Linked DNA regions of Nothobranchius furzeri. The protein of the gene in region 1 purifies or fractionates together with the protein of each later gene. This does not show direct contact. Links are inferred from orthologs where the notes say so. Each region holds a gene or a part of one and is shown on either strand. Other genes may lie near its edges.

Region 1 (4,315 bases):
GCACCTATTTAAAAAAGATCTTAACCCTAAATGCATCATGGTGTCACTTCTCATAATGAGCAGTGTGATCATAATGACTCAGAATCACACACGTCCTCATGTGACTGTAACAACATGGTGGTAGATGATGTAAGGAAGTAATGATGTTAAAATGACACCCTTGAAATTCAACAAACAATAATTGTCCAAACACACAGAACTAAACCTCCTCATGAGCACCTAAACATTCTGCTATCAGCTTGACTCTGAGTAAAGAGCCTTTGTGCAGCAACAACAAGCTCTCGACTGTGGGAAGCACCACAATGGCCGGCTTAGATGGCAGACATGAATCATCCTCTCTGTTTGTGAGCTTTGTGCATTGGCTTTTAAGAGCGGTGCTATGTGTGGCAAGCAGAAACTTCACAACAACAAAAACAACAACACAGGGTACTGACACAGCCAACCACACTTCAGGTATATGAATGAATTCAACTTTATAAAAAGCTTTTTTATACGATTTTTTTTGGGGGGGGGGGGGGGGATCAGGAATTTTATGACAGGAAATCAAAAAACTTTCTTGCCTCCCTAATGTACGTCGATGTGGCTAAACCTTGGTTCATAGGAGCTGTAAAGTAAAAAAAAAAAAATACCACCTGACACATTTGCACTCACCTTCAATCCATCACTTGGCAAGCGGTAGCCAAATCGTGCAGGCATGTCGTCAAAGTTCTCAGTTCTGTTGTCAAATGAATACTGAAACACAGGAAGATACGATCAGCTGTGACGCTCGCTCGGATGCATTAACACTCACAACTGTTAACAGTCCAAATGCGAAACACACAACAGTACTTTCAGATTGTTTTGTAAACAAAGCAAGCCGGCTGTTACAGAAGCCCATCACTTCATGAGAGGAGGTTTGACCATCTGTAGGACTGGAACTGCAGAAGTGTATGCATGCATGTCTATTTATGCACCACTGTGACGGTTCACTCACAGCAGCGATATCGGCCTCCACAGGCAGCAGGTTGAGGAAGGCGAAAAGCTGAACGGTGAAGATGGTGTAAATCTGCGTGGCAGATAGCATCAACATTCCCAGAGACAGCAGCATCTTGGCATCACGTTACAAACCTCTGCTTCTGTAGTGCTCGCACACTCTCACACAAATATCCACTCAGACTGTCTCGTAGCAGGGATCCTATATGCCGGCTGATGCTGTTACACCTAGAAAATACAGATGATTTGTTTGCATAAGAACTTTTTGGTTTTGCATTATTGCTGCAAAGAAATTTAAATTAGATTTGAAATCAAAAACTTATATTATGGAAACATTTTTTAAAAATTAGTGATGCACTGATATGAAATTTTTGGGCTGATACCGATATTAAGATCACCGTTATGGCCGATAACCGATATTTGCCGATACCGATATACTGACATTAATGCTTCTAAAATCAGCAGATTTAGTTTAGAAAGAAGATTATTAAAGCTGAATTTACATTATTATGTACACACACCACACACATTTAAGCTTCTGAGATGATTACAATCACTGTCGCATGACTAAACAAATACACACCACCCCCCTCACCCTCTGAAACAGGCAGACAAATGGAGATGAGACAGAAAAAAATAACGGTTGTTAATATCGGCCCGGTTTTATTCATCGAACCGATACCGACGTGTTAAGAAATTACTAATATCGGCCGATACCGATATTGATGCCGATATATTGTCCATCCCTAAAAAAAATAGGTCAAACTTTCAAATACATATGTGTGTAATTTACAAACAGTTGCATATTTTTATTCTTACACTTAAAATTATTCATTTAACTTACTCATCATATTAATAATAACAATAACAATAATGCATTTTATTTATAAGCGCCTTTCAAGGAACACAAGGACACTTTACAACAATAAACAACAAAGAAACTAAGTTAAAAACAGCCCAAAAATCCATAGAAACCTTAAATTATAAACTAGATAATAAAATCAATGTGGTTTGAAAAGGTGTCACAAGCAGTAGGCAGTCTGAAATAGGTGGGGTTTTAGTCTAGCATATTAAATGTAAACATTTACTGAAGGATTTTATCAGGACACAATTTACTTTTAACTTTTTGACCTGTTACTATTTTCAGTGTATTTAAATATACTACTCAATGTATTACATTTGATATAATTTTTTAAGTCTTTTTCAGAACACAGAAACCCTATTTTAGTCTGATTGTCACGAGTAACGATGTGTTATAACTTATTTTATTTATTTATAAATAATCAACACCTTAGTGTTAATTTACTTTTAAAGAAGGACAAAATATGTTTCTGGACAGTCGGAAATACCACGGTATTTAACAGAGGTTAAGAGGTCACAACAAATGGGAACAAGTGATCAGATGATGTCTAAACATCAAGTGACAGTGGTCGCCTTTTCTGAGATAACTCTCTAAGATGATAACAACATGTCTATAGGACAAATAAAGAGAAGATGATAAGTTACAAAACCATGTAACAAGAAATAATAACATTAGTAAACTACCGTTGAACTCTCCCAAACGCGAAAATAAAAACTAAACATTTTACACACGAAGACTGGTTGCAATGATGCTGAGCATTTTCGTGATTTAGCCGTTAATGTTTAGATGAATATACGCAAATACCCTAAAATGTACAACCGAAACAGAACCCAGTCCGTTAGCATGAGACTAGCATTAGCAAACGAAGCTAAACTGTTTCTGGGTGTTTACCTTTAATTCTGCTCGGAGCCTTGTTGTTTGCGTGGAATAAGCAGCTGTCAGCGACATTGCCCTCGTTTACTGCGCGTCATATAAGACAAAACACACCACCTCAAACTACGTGTCTGTAGTTAATTTCATTTAAACAGTTGGTCACAAAATACGATCATAAACGCAACTGCTTAATCCCCACTGCTAGCTATTTTCTTTTCATGTGTGAGAAAATTAACTTCCGCCCCGTGTCACATCAATTTAAGAGCTCTGATTGGATGAGCTTCCTGTCAATCATTTTATTCCGGAAATGACTCTAAACATAAACAGATCCACGTGATATGGAAAAACTCATTTGCTTCAGTTTACAGTCGCAGTCCGAGCTTTAACTGCTCGTTAGCTGCCTACCGGAACATTTAATAGACAGTTATTTTTAAAAAGTTACATTAAAAGTCTATCTAACACGTGTTGTCATCGAGAGATGAGTGAAAGAAGAAAGACAAAATCATGACCAGTCAATTTTTAAGTCTTTCGCACCATCTATAGAAAACAGATTGCAATCTTCAATGACGTTTTGAATCTCTGTGTTTAGTTTCAGTCTACATAATTTTAGAAAAGGAACTTTTATGATAAATATAAATATACAATAAGATTTATACTGGAAAACTGATGCAAAATTAATTGTCAGTAAAAAATGTGTTATAGGGTGTCTTTCACAGATACGTACATCACAAATCAGGACAAAACATTGTAAACAAGGAGGATCACCGACCTCAAAATACTGTAAACAAGGAAAATGTACAAGAATAGAAAGTGGAAATTTGTAAACAAAATCAGAATCATTATAAACTAGGAAGATGTATCAACATAAAAAATAGTAAAGATGAAGGTATAAACATAGTCAAAATTATCTGCACAAATAAATGAGGAAGGCACATAGAAGAGGTAGGTTCTTAAATGTTTTTTTGAACCTCCACACTTAAAAAGATAGTTTGAGAGGCAAGCTGTTCCACAGTCTGGTAACCAGAACGTGAAGCAGTGTTAGACTCCACCCTGTTTCTTCTGAAGTCTAAAATCATCTTTGTTTTGTTCACGTTCAAGGTCAGATGATTGTTTCCACACCATGCCACAAAGCGCTCCACCAGCTCTCTGTATTCAGCTTCCTGTCCATCTCTGATACATCCGACAACTGCAGAGTCATCTGAGTATTTCTGTAGATGACAGGTCTCTGATTTGTACTGGAAGGCTGAGGTGTACAGGGTGAAAAGGAATGGGGAGAGTACAGTCCCCTGTGGTGCTCCAATGTTACTGATCGCCTGGTTTGATGTGCAGTTCTTCAGCCTCACAAACTGTGGTCTGTTTGTCAGGTAGTCTTTAATCCAGGCGATAGTTGAGGTCCCCACCTGTATCTTCTGGAGTTTCTGGCAAAGTACATCAAGCTGGATTGTGTTAAATGCACTGGAGAAATCAAAGAACATGACCCTCACAATGCTGCCCGCTATTATCACTGTCATTAAATTGAAGTTGGACAGATGACTTGAATATCACTTGAACATTCAAAGTTAAAGACTTGGACTTGACTTTGACTTCCACATCATTGACTTTAAACTC
Region 2 (3,651 bases), about 6.0 Mb from region 1:
AAAAACAAACCAGTGTTATAGCAGAAAGATGATGTAGAATTTGAGAGAAAAACAAATAAATCCTTTTCTAATCTATAGAAAACTGACTATTTCTATGAATCTTTAAGAAGCCAGTTAACGTTCAGATCGAATTTCTACCATGTAGCAGAAATTAAAACTAACCTGCAATTACAGTGTTGACACATTCATACAGCAGAGACATGGCAGAAGTGCTGTGAGAAAGGAAAACCGGGTACAAAACAAAGAAAATAGAAATTATTATTAGTTTATTCATTCCATGAGACAATCTATCAAAAAATCTAATGGAGTATTTCAGCTCACCTGTGGATCAGGTTAGTCAAAGGTTCGATAAGCTTCTTCCCCAACCTTGGCTCCAGAGGAGTGAGTGCACCAAACTGTAAAAACAGAGACGTGATCCTTTTGGAAAACCTGACTACATATTATTACTACTTTGAAATTATGAAGTGTTTTTTTTTTCCACTTTCAAATAACCTGCTGACTTACCAGCTTGATGATCTTAATGAGAACCCAATTATTAGTAGAGGAAGTCATAAGTTTGAAGAAAAGTGGGGCCAGAGACAGGTAGTTCTTAGGATTTCTCCTAGCCAGCTCACAGATAACATTTACAGCTGCTGACTGGACACCTAAGAACGAAAAAGAACAAACGCTTTTTAGGGAAGGGTTTCCATTTTAAAAAACAAACCATTTAAACACATAAACATAAAATCTATGTGAAACGGCATAAAAACAAAATGCACATCTTATGTAATAGTTGCTAATTGATCAAAACAGGTCAATAGAAATATTCTTGTTTTTAAAGGTGTGGAAAACTCATTTAATCAATACATTTGCAGGAGTCTAGTAGGAATGAATGTTTTGTAAATTGCACTGGGGGGTGTATACTGGTGAACCGTTTATCTCCAAATAACACAAGCCTGAAGGAGCTTCTGCCATGTGTTGACGTTGCTAATGCTAACGGTTAGGTTCTACTAGCTTTTAGGTCCGCTTCTTTTTAATCTATATATTTTACCTTTGGCAGCTATTTTCAGAAAATTCGGGGTGAATAATCATCTCTATGCTGACGACTGCCAACTGTATGTGGCTCTTAAAGCGGCTGACCCTGTGCAACCACTGACTGACTGCCTGAATGAAATCAAGTCATGGCTTTCTGCCAATTTCCTCCATCTGAACAGCTCCAAACTGGAGGCTTTTTTTTTTTTTTTTTGCCCCCTGCTCCCCCTCTGCTGTGGAGCCATCTCTGCCTCATTCTTTGTCAGTTTTTCTGAAGTCGGCAATTAAAAGTTTGGGGGTCATACTGGACGCCAATTTTAAAATGGATACACAGATAAACCAGATGGTCAGGTCGTGTTTCTTTCATTTTCGCCGGCTGACTAAATTAAAATCGGTCCTTAACAAGAGAGATCTCCACACAGTTGTTCATGCTTTTGTAACTTCACGTTTGGACTATGCTAACTCTCTGTTATATGGGGTTCCATCCTCTTTTCAATGGTACGCCTCCCAATCGGTACAGAATGCTGCAGCGAGGTTTCTAACAAACACAGACCGATGGCAACACATCTCACCTGTTTTAGCAAATTTGCACTGGCTTCCTGTTCAGTTTCGGATTAAGTTTAAAATTCTACTGCTGGTGTATAAATCTTTGCATGAAATGGCACCCTTTTATTTGGCGCAGCTTTTAAGCCCCTATGTTCCGGTGCGAACCTTGAGGTCCTCTGACCAGCACCTTCTGCTCGTCCCTCCAGCTCGCGATAGGGCACGTGGCGAACGGGCTTTTTCAGTTTGTGCCCCTAAGCTTTGGAAACAATTCCCCCTGACGGTCCGACTTGCCTTCCAACTTTTAAAGTACATCTGAAGACATATTTTTATTACCTGGCTTACCCAGCTGAGATTGTTTTACCCTTAAGTTTGTCTGTTATTTTACTTTTTTACTTATTTTTATCTAATGACGCCGCTGTTTTCTAGTTTGGTGATCTGTAACTTAAGTTTTTAAGTGTTTTTATCTATTTTACGCTGCTGTCTTCTAGTTTGGTGTCCTATCGTCTTGTACAGCACTTCGATTGGCGTAGTCGCTGTTTAAACGTGCTTTATAAATAAAGGATGATGATGATGTTCTCTGTTGTTTCCTGGATGCTAAACCAACAACAGCCTTCTCCGTCACAAGTCAAGATGGGTGAGTCCATGAATGCTAATCTACAGTGTGACGTAGATCTGTCTGGATTTTCTAATCCAAGAGATTCACCATCTATTTTCCATCAGAAGCTAATGCAGGATGTTGTACATTTCTCTTGCCAAGCTAGATACTCATAAGGGAATTCCTTTCAGTTTAAAACAACAACAAAACAGCATTGCAGTATCACAGCCGCCATATATCATTTTCTCTTGCTGAATACTTTATGGGATTTAGAAGACAGAAAATAAAACTCACAAAAAAGCTTCTGCAGTTTCAGATTTGCCTCAAATGACAAAAACACTGTAACACACCTGGATCTGGATCCTCCAGTTTCTCTTTGAGCCTTGGAAAAGCAGGGCGCAGGGATTCTGGGTACTTCAAAAACACCTTATACATGATAAGCACAGCTTTCTTCCTAATGTAAGGTTTAGTGTGGGACATCTAAAGTGGAAAACAAAAACAGCCAAAATAAGAACCAGTTGTGTTCCAAATGCAAAAATGTTCACATTTCATCTGTGAGCCTAGAAAAGAATTGAAGACCATGGAGGAAAAGAAAAACTGGTTATGTGGATAAACTCGACATTTCCTGCATGACTCACCAGTGTCATGATGTCATTAGCAAGATCTCGAGCCAGATCAGGAGTCACAAAACAAGAGAGCCCAGTCAGAGCAACACCTGTATCATACTGGTTGGGACTACTGAGATCCTAAGAGAAAAATGGAAAAGTCAATAAATAAAAGTAGGACAAAAAGGTAGAAAGGTATTCATAGGCTGCACCAAACAAGTGCATCACCGACCTTTCGGATTTGATTGGTCGTCAGCATGATGACATCAGTGCTCTCATGGAAGCACTGTGAGGCTGCTAAGTAACCGATCCTCTGCAAGAAGAAAACCCGAGCAGGAAAGACAAATGCACTTTGTTATAAAATAACAGAAACATTATCATCGGTCTGCAGCAGCTGGTTTTCATTAACACGATCAGCTGGTGCACGGGCAGTTATACCTTGTATGTGAACTTCGAGGAGCTCATGACTTCAACAATGTTGAACGCTGCCCAGCTGACATCATAGCCCAGCATCTGAAGCTGTAACACAAACGAGCCACACTGTAAATAATGTCAAAAACACTGAGAAACTAACAGATGTTAGCTGGAAGCTCAATAACTGAATGTAGATTTTAAAAACCTCTTTATAACCAGCAGAAACTTCACCACAAACACTTCATTTGACAGTGTTTCTTTGTCAGACTCAACTGTGTTGTTTCAAGAATTAGCACTTTTATTCTTCATTACAAGTGACTAATTTGCTCCAATGTTCACCAAGTTACAGGGTTTGTTTTCTTGGTAAAACTTCTATAAAATAAAATGCGCAACGCAACTCTATCCAATTTGAGTCAGAAAAAGTCTTAGTGCATCAATAGTGTATGTCTAACAGAAAGCACAGATAAATGTTCTACTCCT

What was found. Proteins that work in one complex are often made in the same cells at the same time.
Region 2: the proteins of rnf13 (region 1) and ap3d1 purify together in Homo sapiens (affinity purification with mass spectrometry; 3 studies listed by BioGRID and IntAct, counting the BioPlex papers as one, with this or other methods). This does not show direct contact. The link is inferred for Nothobranchius furzeri from reciprocal best matches to the Homo sapiens genes RNF13 and AP3D1.

What each region holds. Positions count from the first base shown.
Region 1 is NC_091748.1:61,627,367-61,631,681, reverse strand, and holds the start of rnf13 (E3 ubiquitin-protein ligase RNF13), read right to left. Parts: upstream 2,924-4,315; 5' UTR 2,726-2,923; intron 1,201-2,725; 5' UTR 1,088-1,200; coding exon 974-1,087; intron 733-973; coding exon 652-732; intron 1-651. UniProt on the Homo sapiens protein: E3 ubiquitin-protein ligase that regulates cell proliferation. Involved in apoptosis regulation. Mediates ER stress-induced activation of JNK signaling pathway and apoptosis by promoting ERN1 activation and splicing of XBP1 mRNA.
Region 2 is NC_091748.1:55,669,268-55,672,918, forward strand, and holds part of ap3d1 (AP-3 complex subunit delta-1), read right to left. Parts: intron 3,277-3,651; coding exon 3,196-3,276; intron 3,071-3,195; coding exon 2,990-3,070; intron 2,899-2,989; coding exon 2,791-2,898; intron 2,633-2,790; coding exon 2,503-2,632; intron 645-2,502; coding exon 505-644; intron 396-504; coding exon 322-395; intron 213-321; coding exon 163-212; intron 1-162. UniProt on the Homo sapiens protein: Part of the AP-3 complex, an adaptor-related complex which is not clathrin-associated. The complex is associated with the Golgi region as well as more peripheral structures.